2 linked regions of the Caenorhabditis elegans genome follow. The protein of the gene in region 2 interacts with the protein of the main gene of each other region in a pairwise test. Each region holds a gene or a part of one and is shown on either strand. Other genes may lie near its edges.

The links. The genes of interacting proteins can lie anywhere in the genome.
Region 1: the proteins of sgt-1 (region 2) and srlf-35 interact in a two-hybrid assay, tested with the Caenorhabditis elegans proteins (2 studies listed by BioGRID).

Annotation. Positions count from the first base shown.
Region 1 is NC_003283.11:500,435-507,075, reverse strand, and holds srlf-35 (SXP/RAL-2 family protein Ani s 5-like cation-binding domain-containing protein), read right to left. Parts: upstream 3,049-6,641; 5' UTR 3,038-3,048; coding exon 2,849-3,037; intron 2,780-2,848; coding exon 2,504-2,779; 3' UTR 2,444-2,503; downstream 1-2,443. Other genes in the region: srlf-19 (SXP/RAL-2 family protein Ani s 5-like cation-binding domain-containing protein), read right to left, coding at 1,071-1,319, 1,363-1,554; T01G6.10 (DeHydrogenases, Short chain), read left to right, coding at 3,853-4,122, 4,281-4,469, 4,518-4,688, 4,737-4,934; str-256 (Serpentine receptor class r-10), read left to right, coding at 5,746-5,928, 5,975-6,062, 6,114-6,192, 6,449-6,583, 6,639-6,641.
Region 2 is NC_003280.10:4,902,140-4,909,665, forward strand, and holds sgt-1 (SGTA homodimerization domain-containing protein), read right to left. Parts: upstream 1,658-7,526; 5' UTR 1,655-1,657; coding exon 1,498-1,654; intron 1,445-1,497; coding exon 756-1,444; intron 625-755; coding exon 457-624; 3' UTR 149-456; downstream 1-148. Other genes in the region: btbd-10 (BTB domain-containing protein), read left to right, coding at 2,920-3,070, 3,129-3,247, 3,718-3,784, 6,669-6,803, 7,193-7,296, 7,378-7,526.

The DNA of each region.
Region 1 (6,641 bases), on a different chromosome or scaffold from region 2:
TAAAAATGAGTTTTGTTACCCAATTTTTACTCATCCACTTGTCGAAAGCCGCAATAGCTGGCTGCGTCCAGTTAAATTGTTCTAGATTATTCTTCAGATTGGTTTTCGAATCAGCATCATATGAATAATCCTTTAATCAGCATCATATGAAAAGAGGGCAGATAGCTCAGTCGGTAGTGGTGGCCGCTAGCAGTCTGGAGGTCACGAGTTCAAGTCCGGCCTCACCCCCTAGGTTCACCCAGCCTCTATTGGGAAGTGGAGCAATCCACGACTGGATTATCGGCCACAGTCCCCGGCTAGGACGTGGCTTAAATTACCGCCCAGAGGGATCACCACCAGGCAGTGTACCTGAATCCCAGATCCGCAGTGCATAGCACTTGAAGAACGGATCGTCCTTTAATCCTTTAATCCTTTAATCAGCATCATATGAAAAGGTGAGCAAATTGTAAACCTCGTTGCCCAGCTTCGGAGGTAGATGAGAGGCCAAAGTTAGAGTAATACTAAAATATGAAGTACAAATCAAAAACAACAAATAATGTGTTCCGATCATGATGAGTATATTCAGTTGCAGTTGCATGGACACTTTTTATACAAAATTCGCACTCCCTCGTTACTATTAATCTGACAATTCGGTGGATTAGTTTTGGTAAATTTTAAAATTTATTTACATGTAGTTTTGTGTAGGTTTAGATCACAAGATCAAACAAATAAAAAATTATAATGAAACTAGCGACAAAAGTTGTAACCTATTCTTTCAATAAAATCGAAGTTTTTTCTCCAAAAACTGTACGTAGATGGTTTTTGAATTTACGCTTTTTTGTCTGCAAATTTATTCGTTTTTCAGCCAGAACACTTATTTAAAAAAAATTAAGAAAAACTGAAGCAACGCTGGCTCAAATGAAGCTGATTTTTTGAATTTTTTACACTTAGATTAACAGTATTTGCTGTAGACTTACAAAACCTTGTGTAGATTTATAGAGTCTTGTGTAAATTTACGGGACATCTGAAGTCGTATAAAAATTTATTAATCGCAAATAAATTAAAATTTTAGGTGCTTAGCTTCTAAGCCTCTAAACCTTCATTCCCATAGCTTTCTTCCACATTTTTCTGATGAAAAGCAGAACTGGAACCTCTTGCCAGTATTGCTCCTCAAGTGAGTCGATGGCTTCTTCCTCCTGATCGCGAGTGAGATTTTTGTTGCTCAAAATCGCTTCAAGTTGAGCTTGAACTGAAGATAGTTGGGAGATGATTTGTGTTGTGTTTTTGCTCATGAAATTCTCATTATCCTGTTGTTTCTTGGTATATGCAGTGTACTGATCCTAAAATTAAAAGTTTGAAATTTCTTCAGCAATCTAAACATACCGAAAGATTATTGGTCTGAGCCCACTGTTGAAGCTGCTCATCCTTTTGAAGTTTTGTCAGCTGGGAATTGCGTACAATTGTAGCATAGGACTTTTGCATGTTATCTGGCAAATCCTTCACGAAATTTGGTTTGTTGTAACTAGCAGCAGCAGTCACAGCAATCAGAACAGCGAGGATAAAATAGGAGGCCATGTCTTCAAATAAGCTTTGATAATTTTTGATTCAAAAACATTGTCCTTAAATACCATGTATTCCGTGACGTATGAAAATCGTGTTACACACGACATATTTGCTAGCTTAAAAGGCTACTGAAGAATCAAGAGAATGCACTCAAAACATTGAACTCTGGCTAGACTTTGCGGTAAACAACGTGTTTTGGGAGCTGCAACAAATAGAGAAATTGGCTAAAAGTTCAGAAAACTCAGCGAAACACTGAGCAGAAACCATAGTAATCAGGAACATAGAATTATGAGCGGCCGACACATTATAGGTTGGATTTTGATAAGGCTCGCAGCCGACATCTTGCAGATTTACTCAAAGATTGACATATAATTGTTTAATGTTACTTTATAAAATTCAAGAAGGTCTTACAAAATTCAGTTTCTAGTTTTGAAAATTTTCAGAAAAAAAATTAATTGATATTTTTTCACAGTTTTTTAACAAATTGTTAATGGAAAAATGGAAAAACTAAAGGAAAAAATCTACATAACTTCACAAATATTTGAGAAAATATTAAAAACATTTAGATGACTTTAGAATGATGTTTATTTTGGTGAAAAAGTTTTCAAAAAAGTTCAAACAATTTTCTGAATGTCGAAAATTTTTGGAATTTTCCCAAGATTTTCAAAAATGAATTGTAAAATTATAATACTTGAAGACTGAGTTTTTACCTTTTTTTTTGACTATAATTTAATTTTTTTTAATTTCTGAAAATTTTTACAATAATTTTTGGATATTTTAACAATTATAGGAACCTAGGAAGCGGTCCGATATTTCACTTTTTTTTGACACATTACATCTTTCATGAAATATCCTGAGGCTGTTTTTAAAATTTTTTCAACAAAAACAATACCGCTTTTAATTCCATTTATGTGTCCTCTAAAGTTAAAACCATTCATTAGAAAAAAAAAACTTCAAAAACTTAAAATGATTCATAACTGTCATCATGGTCATCATCGATTCCCATTCTTTTCATGGAAACTTCCCGAATGTGGAACAAAACTGAAACTTCTTGAGGGTACTGGTATCTAAGAGACTGGATAGCCTGTCGCTTCTGAGCTCCCGTTTGATTATCGTTGTTCAGAATGGATTCAAGCTGGTTTTGAACTGTTGATAACTGGGAAATTATTTGAGAAGTCTGCTGGCTGACTTGTTGCTCTTGTTGGCTCCGTTGTTGTGTGTAGCTGGAGTATTCGTTCTGGAAAATTATTGTGATTTCAGATTTTTATTTTCAAATTTAAAAAATTCAAAATTTCAGAGAACTCACCGAAAGATTATTCATCTGAGCCCATTGCTGAAGCTGCTGGTTCTTCTGCATCTGACTTAGCTGATAGTTCTTAGCAATTGCAAAATAAGACTGTTGAATATTTCTCGGCTGATATCTCAAGAACATTGGTCCGTCGAAATCGGCAAAAACTACAGCGAACAGAGCAATAATTGAAAGGTAAGACTTCATTTTGGAGTGATTTGGTAAAGTGTCTCCTCAATTTATATACTAGGTGCCCATAGTATTGGCATAGTATCTGTTTGTGCCACTGGTGAACTTTTGTGTTTGCTCTTGTAGTCTTTTGAAAAGAGTTGTTAGGCAGTTAGGTAGTCTACGTTTATGAGTCACTGAAAAAAAATCATTTTTTGAAGAAAGATCAAAAGTAGGGGAACTTTTTAAAAAACATCTAGAAGTTTTCAGAAATTTATCCGAAATTGTTCAAAGTTATCTAGATGTCGAGATTCGAAAAAAAAAGTTTAAAAAACAATTTTTTATATTTTATTCTTAGAAAATGTGAATTTTGCACCAATACTTTTCTCAGAACATGAAGATTTGAATTCCCGCCAAAGAAATGGACTGAAAATTTTAATTTCCCTTTAAAAAAAACTGCAATGAAAATGCGAATTTCCCGTCTTTTTTTTAATTCCCAGGAATTTTTACCCCTGAAACTTTGAACATTCGCCCAAATTTTTTCACAATAAAATAAGTTTTCTAGTTTTCGCGGAAAATTTTAAAAACTTGCACTATTTTTATATTTTATATAAGTTTGATATATTTTTAAGTAATTATGAGTAACCTGAACCCTTTTGGTCATAGATTTTTTGACACACTGAGAGATAAGCACAAAAAGAGACACAGACGTCCAACGCATGTGCTTACACATTCAGCTTTATACCTTCTAGTCACAGACGCTGTCCCCCTCCGACACATTTTCCAAAACTATAAAAGATGTTGGAGAGCAGCTCAAAAATATCACTTTCATACTTATTCTTTACCTTTTCTCTATGAACCGCTTCTCTGGAAAGTCTGTCATCGTGACAGGATCTTCAAGTGGAATTGGTCGAGCCACTGCGGTGCTCTTTGCGAAATATGGAGCCCAGGTAACAATCACTGGTAGAGATGCTGGAAAACTCGAGGCTACCAAGAAAAAGATGCTGAAGGTCATGAAGAATCCGGAGAATGTGTGTGTTGTCGTGGCGAACTTGACGGATTCTGATGGGCAAGACGAGATTGTGCAATCGGCGCTCGATGCTTTTGGGAGGATTGATGTACTGGTAAGTGAAGGTATGCTTATCTGTTTAAATCATTAGAGATCCAATGTTGCGCGTCAAATATTATGTAGTCATTTTTGCTCGATTTTGTACATGTGCTTAAAAAATGTACTGCGCATCTCTGACCGCAGTTTTTTTAAACACTTTTTCTCACCTTCCAGGTGAACAACGCCGGTGCCAATGTGGTCGACGGTACCTTTAACACTGATCAATCTACCGAGCTGTACCATAAAACATTTCAAATCAATTTTGAAGCCGTCATCGAGATGGTGAAAAAAACCAAAAATCACCTGATCGAATCGAAAGGTGAAATTGTGAATGTCTCCAGTGTAGCTGCAGGACCACAGGCGGTTTGTTGCTCCATAAATTTCTACCAAACTAAAACCGGATATTTTCAGCTTGCTCCATCCCCCTATTACGCAGCCTCCAAAGCCGCCCTAGACCAATACACACGTTGCGTGGCACTTGATCTCATCTTGCAAGGGGTTCGTGTTAATTCAGTGAGCCCGGGTGTCGTCACGTCCGGGTTTCTGGGGGCAATGGGAATGTCGGAGCAGGTCCAGAAACAGGTAAACGAAATTGTTCCATGATTGCTGTAAATTTGATAGAAATTTTAGATCGAAGAGAACTTCACTTCTAACAGAGCCTGCATTCCTGCAGGAGTTTGCGGAAAGCCTGAGGACATCGCCGAGCTTATTATTTTTTTGGCGGATCGCAAGAGATCTTCTTACATAATAGGACAGTCGATTGTGGCCGATGGAGGAACTTCTTTGGTTTCAGGGCTCACCGCTCAAAACATTCAGCGAAACAATTGATTTTTCAATTATATTGATGTCTATTTGCAATTTAATAAATGAATATTTTTTTGAATTTTCAACACCCGTGACGAATACATGATTTACAGGATTTGTTTCTTATATAAATACAACTTTATCACTTTACCTATTTCTGTCCAAACAAACAACACATGAACTCTACTCTAAAACAGCTTAAGTTTTTTCGTATATGCTGAAAGATTAAATTTTGAAAACCATCACACCACAACCTTAAACAAAGTACATTAACCCTACAGTACTACTACAGTACCTTGACATTATCCATTACCAACTCCCAACGCAATATCCCTTCAAAAGCTGAAAAATCAAATTTTCCTAAACTACAGTAACCCTGCAGTAACCCTACAGTACCCCTACAGTACTACTACAGTACTTTGGCATTATCCATCACCAACTCCCAACGCAATATCCCTTCAACTACAGTTCCAACCGTTCCAAATGTGACTGAAATTGCAGTTTTAGCTGTCAATGAAAATTTATTCCAAAAAATTAACTTTTCTTTAAAAAAACAGTTATTTTCTGTTATTATCAGTTATTTTCCAGAAATCTGGCACATTTCAAACCGGAACTACAACACTGTTATTTGAACCAACTGATACGTGATTCACTATCCACATTGTACATTTTTGAGGAATATTATGACGTTATAGTGTTTTTGCCTACAATTTCCTAGTAAGTGGGAAGTGAATTTTTGATCTAAATTTTGTACTCGACTGGGCGTTTTCACGGAATTTCAAATAATTTCATGTATTATTACATTTTCAATTTCATTTACATTTCAGATTGGAATATGAAAATCGACGACATTGTTTTTCTGAATTCATCGGCCGTTTTCGCAATTGCTATCATCTTTCTACTCATATGCCTCATTCTCAAAAAATCTCCGCAATCCTTAGGATCATACAAGTATCTCATGATTTATATTGATCTTTTCGAGCTGGCTTATGCTTTTTTGTATTTTTTGGAAAAACCGGTAAGTTAATCGCAAATAGCAGCCTTGAAAAATTTGGAAATGCCAGAAACTTCTGACAAAAGAATCGGCATTTTTCTTGATTGTCAATTGGAAAGAATCGTTGTTTCCAAAGTTTGTAGTTTGCGTTCTAGACTGTAAGTTTTCAAGAGAGAAGCACAACTTACAATGTGTGTGCTATTTTGCAGTACTATTTGTTGGTTGCTTCGGATTTTCCATCGCGATTCTTGCACTTCACTTCATTTATCGATTTTTCAGCATTACAAAGTAAGTTGAAGCTAAGCTAACTATAATGATACTTTGAAGTTGTATTTGTACCATTAAATTCATAAGAGGCAGGCGCGGTTTCAGGACCTGACGCGAAATGTGGTTCTTTCGCCGTGACCGACACTTTTCAGGTTCCGCGCCGCACTATACAGTGAGATCGGCTTGCGGCGCGAGGCATGCGGAGGTCGCCGCAAGGCAGGCGCGGTATGCATTTTGGCGCCTGCATGGATTTTTTTGTGTTATTACCAAGTTTCAGCAATCCTCATCTCAAATCCTTTGACTCCTGGAAAATTGTGCTCTGGTTTATGATTCCTGCTTTAAATGGGCTCGCCTTCATGTGCACGGGCGGTATTCTAATGAGCGCCGACCCACAGACCGATAGGTTTTTGAAGTGAGTACTGTGAAAACTACTAGCTAACAATAATTTTCAAAAAATAATTTTTCAGTGA
Region 2 (7,526 bases):
ATTGTTTAATTTAATACTAAAATATTTCAACAAAAAAATCAAAAATAAAGAAAATGTGAGTACTCCCGCGCTATCTTTCGTTTGGGTGCAAATCGATAATTTCGTGTTGGAGCGCGTTTGCAACCAGTGTGTCTGTGATGGAAAGAATATTTCGACAATATTTATTATTCGTGAAAAAAAAGAAAATTGACCCAATTTTTTGTTGGTAGTTAAAACATGACCATCTAATTAAAAACAATATTTCGATAAGGCTTGAATCGGGGGCGATTATAACATCATCATTGTAAGGGGAAATTCTGCGAGAGAAACTAAAAAAAACGAGTAACCATAAGCGACTTCGGCTTTTTCAAATCACATGAGAGCAGAAAGTAAAGACGAGAGAAGGGGAAAGAGAGAGAGAGAGAGATAACGAAATGGAAATTCGTGATGCGGAAGGAGATTGGCGGAAGAGATTATCTATTGTGGTGGGTTTGGTGGTGGTGCTCCTCCATCGGCTCCGGGGCCGAATTGGCGTCGAAGATTTTCAATAAGTTCTGGATTGGTCTCTTGCATGCGAGCAGCCATTTGCTGGCCAGCAGCCATCAAATCAGCGATTGATCCATTTCCAGACATCATGTTGTTGAACTGAAAAATTCAATATTTTAGAGCATACATCATCAAAAAACAAGCAATAATAATGAAAAACAATTAATTTTGACGGCCACGTGCATTGCCATTTCAATTAAATCTTTTATTCCCGAAAATTTGATACTTACCATATCAGAAAGTGCTGGATCGCTCATCATCTGTGAAGCAGCTTGCATAAGTCCTGGCTCGTTCATAAGGTTTTGCATGTTTGGCATTCCTGGCATAGCCGGCATTCCTCCCGGTCCTCCTCCCATGGCTCCCAAAAGCCCAGCCAATGGATTGGCACCTGGTGCCGGTCGCGAGCTTTCCAGCTCCTTCAATTTGTCTTCAGCAATTTTCAAATTATTCTTGTAACTCTCTTGATTTGGTTCAAGCTCCAAAGCCTTCTTGTATGCCTCAGCGGCATGCTCATATCTGTTTTGGCAAGAATATGCAAGACCCATTCTTCCCCAAGCTTTTGAGTAAGATGGATCAAGGGCAAGAGCTGTACGACAATCTTGGATGGCCAAATCATATTGTTCCAGGCGGCAATAAGCAGCAGCGCGGTTACAGAAGTAGACTGGATCTCTGTTGAGCTTGATGGCGGCATTGTACTTTTGAACAGCAGCTTCAAATTGGGAGGCTTTCATTAAATCGTTTCCTTCTTCTTTAAGCTTGTTAGCTTGAGAAATATCACTATCGCTCGGTGTTGGAAGAGCAGATTCTCCCTCTGGAAGTCCTTCGGCGCTCTTGAAAAGTTCGAGAATTGGGCGTGATGGTTGGAAAGCGTATGAGGCATCATCAAGACCAAACGAGTGTTCGAGACATTGAATTGCAACTGAAATTTTAATATATCTTAAGCTAAATTTATAGAAATAAATAGGAAAAAACCTTCAAGAGCTTCCGCTTGCTCGGCAGTGGCCTGATTTTGTGAAACCTTCTGGCGGATAAACTGAAGGAATGAGACAACCAAATTTTGCTCGTCTCTGGTCACAATTGGCGAAGCAGTCGGCGCATCTGGAGCAGAAGGCTTGATCTCCTCGGACATTTTCTTAAAAATAAAAATATATTTATTAAATAATTTTATATTGAAGTTAGAAAAGTAATATAAAGTTGAATTGAAAATCCATGATAAAGCGCAGATTAAAATATTCTTAAAAATATATAGTTCAAGAAATAGAAAATGGCATCGCTTAAAAATGGCATTCCGTGATTATTTTCACTCGGGAATCGCTCGCCCACTATGGGGGAGTCTACGCAAGGACAACGCAAGGACAAGGACAACATTCTAATGGAATGGAAACGATTGCCCGACTGCACCAATTCTAGTTCGAGCGAACAATGATAACTTTTGTATTCTATATTCCTTCACGTCTCCCAGCGAGCGTAATAAATTATTATTATTATTAAAAAAAAAGAGTATTAATTTTAAATGCTTAACTTAAAATCTGAATTTAAGCGCTCTATTTGCGAAATTTGGTCAATGAAGAGTGAAATATTGTAACGAGAATAAAATTGAAAAGTTTTTGAACAACGAAGAGTAAAATTAAAGATTGCAACGTCATTTTATTTCAGAATCAGTGCAAAAATTTCTGGAAATTGCGGGAATAATTTCATCAGCCTCAAAGGCACATGTCGGCCGTCACTTTGATGTGTCTCGCCACGAAAGTAAACCAAGTTCAACTGAAGAGACGGCAGACAACTTGACAGAAAAGTTGCAGCAGCGCGTAGAGTGTATTGTAAAGTTGAGAGAGTGCTAGAGAAAAAAAAAGAAGCGAGAAGCTGACTGGTGGCCCCAGGTCTCCTTCCAAAAGCCACTCATTTCCCTCTGTCGACACCCGTCAACTTAAATTTTTTGGGGCCAGAGACGTCTGGGTACCAAAAGTTTTATTTCAAGCTTGTTTTATTCGTTTTTGTTTCAAAAAAAAAGTGTGATAGTCAGGAGAACGCTGCTGTGAAATTTGTTGTTTCTGTAAAAAATGAAAAAAACAAATTGAAATCAAGCAAATTTTAATTTATTTGTTCGCAAAGTCCTTTTTCACTATGTTCCAAGCTTTCTTTTACCCAAATTTTCCGTTCGAAATGTGTTTTTTAAATGAAAACTTGTTCAAATTTGCGGAATTTTGAAAATACTTGTATTTGAATAATATTTACCCAGCCATTCTGCCTGTCATTCTTATTTTATACTGTTCAACTCCTCCCAAACTTTCACTATCTGTTTCCTAAATAAATAAAACTATATAAAATTTCGCACATTTTCAGTAATTAAACTGTCACTCTTATCATCTTCTTCGTCTTCCACCATTCTACAACATGTCTCAATCGGAAGAACAGAACAAAGACATTCCATCATCTTCAAATTTTGGAAACCCAGCAAATAATGGCGTTAATGTGCCAGATGCTCCTGCGCGACGACTCTTCGATAACACTTCTGACGAATCTGATGTTTCACTGGATAATGATGGTAAGAATTCGAATTTTTCATTCAGATTGAATAAAAATCAATAATTTATTTTTTTCAGACAAAACCGGGGCTGAAACTGACGGTTCCTCTTCAAGTCGTGGATGTCTGAAGAGCGAGAGATCTCGCAAAGATCATGCCAGCACGTCATCAACAAGAACTGTTCGTGCACCACAGCAGGTAATATATTTGTTTTTTTAATAAAAATTATCAAAAAAAAACGATATGAAGACATAAAAACCATGAAAAGTCGATAAAAATACCACAAAAGTTTTAAGTTACAGTAATTTTTAAAGGCGCACACCCGTAAATGCGGTTCTCGGTATCGACACGACAGTGTTTCGTAGATAACAAACAAGTGTGCGCCTTTAAAAAGTACAGTATTTTCAATCTCTCGCTCCTGCAGAATTTTTTATCAATTTTTTCTACTTTTTCTCACGATTCGTTAATATTTATGTGTTTATATTGTTATTTTTGGTATAAGAAACATTTTTTCGCAAAAAAACTATGAAATAAATTAACTTTAAAGCGCACACTTGTTCGTATTTCACAGAAATGTATTTTTGAGGAAAAATTGCAAACTAAAATTAAAAATTTCCGCTTTTCACCGCAATAATTCTAAAAATAGCCTCTAAATCTCATTTTTCCAGGTTTCTTGGTCATTTGGAGCTAAACCTGCGACTCCACACTCTCAACCGCCTGCCGGACTCAAAAAAGGTAAATTTCCGTTTCTTTTCTTGTTTTTGTGTGTCCCTCGTCATTGTGACGTAAATTGCTCTACGAAATTGGAAGAAAATCACTATTTCCGGCTCGTTCACCTTTTGGCAGAAGAAAAACGCTCTTTTTTTCTTCACATATGTTTTTAATGTTTAAACAAACACATATTTGCTTATTGACTCCAGATTTTTCAATCTCCAAACATCCGATCATTACAAATCGGCTTAGAGTTTTAGAAAATAACCAAAAAAGCAATTCTGCACCTGCTCAAGGCTATAATTCGTTTCTAAATTTGGATATCTGTGCAAATTATTAATAATTTCTTTTCTACTTTTCCCCACGAGATGAAAGTAACATTTTCGGATAATGGTGAGTCAAAGCTCAAAAACATCCTTTTAGTCTGATTGGGATTTAGTTGGATTTGAAAATTTAAACACGAGATTAGTTTTCTGAAAATGTGAAGACTTTTAACATTGATGTTATCTATTTTATTTCAATTTTAAATGACTTTTGTATTACATACAACGAGTCTTTGTCCTGTAAAAATGCTTTTTATTGGCGTTGAATGACATTTGACCATCTGACAAATAATCATAGATTCATAAAAAGATGAATAATAATTCTGAATTCTCGATTTTGTTTTTCTTTCGTTTGTGAACTGAAAGTTGAGTTATCTAGATCCTTTTCTATTGGGCAAAAAGTGCAAAGAGGAAAAAGCGAAGACCAAGAAGAAAATGAAAACAATTTAGAAAAGTGAACAGGTGGTCGAATGTTGCCAACTGTCCCTCTCTCCGTTTTCTTAACTTTCTTCATTTTTTCATATCTCCATCCATCGCCGAATTATTATTTACGTCATGATGACACCTCAAGGGTTCGGATTTCAAAATAAAAAGTTTCAAGAGTCATGTGGAAAAGTTGTGAATGTTTTGATGGACTCTGTGGACCATCTTCTCTGGGGTTTTCGCATCCCCAAACGACTTGGCACTTCATAATTTTGAAAAAGTGTAATTAGAATTTTGTTTATAGTCCCATACCGTAGTTTTTGCTTTAAAATGCCAAAAAAAAATTAGCTGGCGTGGTTTCTCATTTTGGAGAAAATTCAAGTGGAAACCCTAAATCATTTTTGTAATTCTACTTTTCAAGTGAGAAAAAGTTCATCTTTGTCATAAGGATTCTCCCTTGACTTGCAGCCGTTTGCAACTTCATCACAGATACTTTAAAATGTATGACCTTGCCCACTTTTATAGCTAGAACTCTACCAAAAATAATGCCTCCATCTCCTCATTCTTCCATCTCCTTCACCCACATTGTTTGAGTTTCCTCTTCTCATCAGTTCGGCTGTCCATTCGTCCACCCGTCCGTCCGTCCGTCTCCGGCTAATCTTCTTCTGCTATTTCGCATTCTTTTTGCCTCTTCTATGTTTTTTCTTCCAATCTTTCTCCCTCGTTGCACTGGGTTTGGAGGCGATTTTCCACCATTTATTTTTTTGTTTTGTGTTCCCCCTCAGCGTATATTGTAAGAGCGCCGTTCAATTTATTTGTGTTGTTTTTTTTTGAAAACAGAAATTAACTGACCCATTTCATCTTCATCTTCAATCTTTTCTCTGTAGTCGTTTACCCCGTTGAGGTTGTCTCATCTGTTTTTCGGTGTAAAGTCATGTCATCATCACTGTGACCTTTTCATTTCTCGTCTCGATTGGTAGAGAATCGGATCTTGTCGCTTTTTTTTCTTCGAATTTAACTTTTGCTAAAGATTTTTTACACTGCTGTCTGATCAACACCCAAAAAGCTAATTGTTGATATAATCTCTGATTCATCCAATTTTCTGTTTGAAAAGTAAGAAATTTCTCATCAATAACCTAAAAGTGCAATTTTTAAGGTCGATATAATCTAAGATCACATAAATAGTATACATCATCTATCTTGTTCAGTTAAAAATTGAAAAAAACCAAATTTTGTAGGTGTTTGTGAGAAAGAGAGTGTTCTATTTGCTTACCTTGTCACACTTTACTCCGCTCTATCACTATTCTAGCTCCAAAGCGAACGACAAAAAGTATTGATGATGGCACATGCACACGCATGAATTGAAAACATACAAAAACACACAGAATGTGATGATTCATTGTAAATATTAAAAAAAAATCAAAATGAAAGGCACTTTTCTTGAAAGGAAAATTCTACTCCAAAGTTTGCCATTTTGATCTTTCCAAGCTTTAGAATCTGTGTAATACAACACAGAAATTGTCACCACCATGAAATTCCCACGTGCTCAAGACAGAAAAATCTCAGCTGACACAGTCTGTGAAAGAAAGACACACTTTTTCAAGAGCAAAAGCACTTGATTAAAGTAGGACAGGAAGCGACCACCATTCCTTGCTTCCTTCCGTTCATCGTTTTTGTCTAGACCCTCCTCCTTCGTCTTCGTCTCCCATCGTATCCAGTCCGTCTTGATGATCTCTCTCGGCGTCTCTCCAGTTTTATCACATCACCACATTATCTTTCTTCAATACGTCGCTCCATTGTCATCATTATATCGTCGCATTTTTCTCTGAACCCTCTGCAAACTCTGCACTCTCCCCTGATGCTTCTCTGTATCAGCTGCGCCCCTTTTTGCGCACCCCTAGCTTGGAGGAAAAGAGGCTAGACGCTCACTTTACTTCTTCCATCTTCTTCCAACACCATATAATCATTATCCACAGCTACAAATAACATCTCCTCTTCTATTGGCTCCATCTGTTTTCTCGTTTTATAATGAGCTCATTTTCTACTTTTCCTCATTCATCATTATCCTGTTCGGGTTAGTTCTGAGTACTGTGTTGGTAGATTCAGAATAAACTAAACTTTAAAAATCCGTGTTTTTTTTTTTCAAAATTCAAATTTTTCAGTTCCTGCCTACTCCGCCACGTCATCATCATCACAAGCGGGTCCATCAGCTTCCACTTCGACAGCTCGTAAATCGTCGCTTGTGGGAGGACGAGGATCCGCGTCGTCATCTGGACACACGAGTCCGTCACCTTCTGGTAAGTTTTTTTAGACCAATAGTTTTTTTTTGTAAATAGTTTTTCTCTGCTAAAAAAAACTCAAGCAATTGAGAATGTTCTAAAACCAATTTTTGATTCGAAAAGTTTAAATTTTTGGCTAAAAAATACTGTACCTGGTCTCGACACGAGAGATTTTCTCAAATGGAAAAGTGTACGCGCCTTTAAGTAGTACTGTAGTTCTCAACTTCTCGTTGTTTGCGGAATTTTCTCTTCTTCAGATTGTCACTAAATTTCGGTGAAATCGGAGCGAAACTTTGAAAATTTGCAAAAACAACAAGTTGAAGGCTACAGTACTTCCTAAAAGTCATGTTGAGACCCGGCTTTATAATTTTTTTGTTGCAAAAATTACGAAATTTTGCAATTTTCAGAATCCCCAGCACGTAACGCAGGCTGCTCCTCTTCGGGTGAATCAAATCCTGATAGATCTCTGACAACACCTCCACTTGCTCCAGCACTGAAACATTCTGCCAAGGTATAGTCATTTAAAATATAATTATTTTTCAATACGCAATTATTATAAACGTTTTACAATTCCAAGCAATTAAATTTTCAGGACGGTCATTATCGTGGACAAAGATCAATGTCACTTGGAGGTCCTGCTCATGAAATGCTCATGTCACAATTGGGTGGCCGTCAAGGAAACACAGTCGACTGTTCACCGGGAGAAGGCGACAAAGTATGCCTTTTAGTCGATCAAACCCG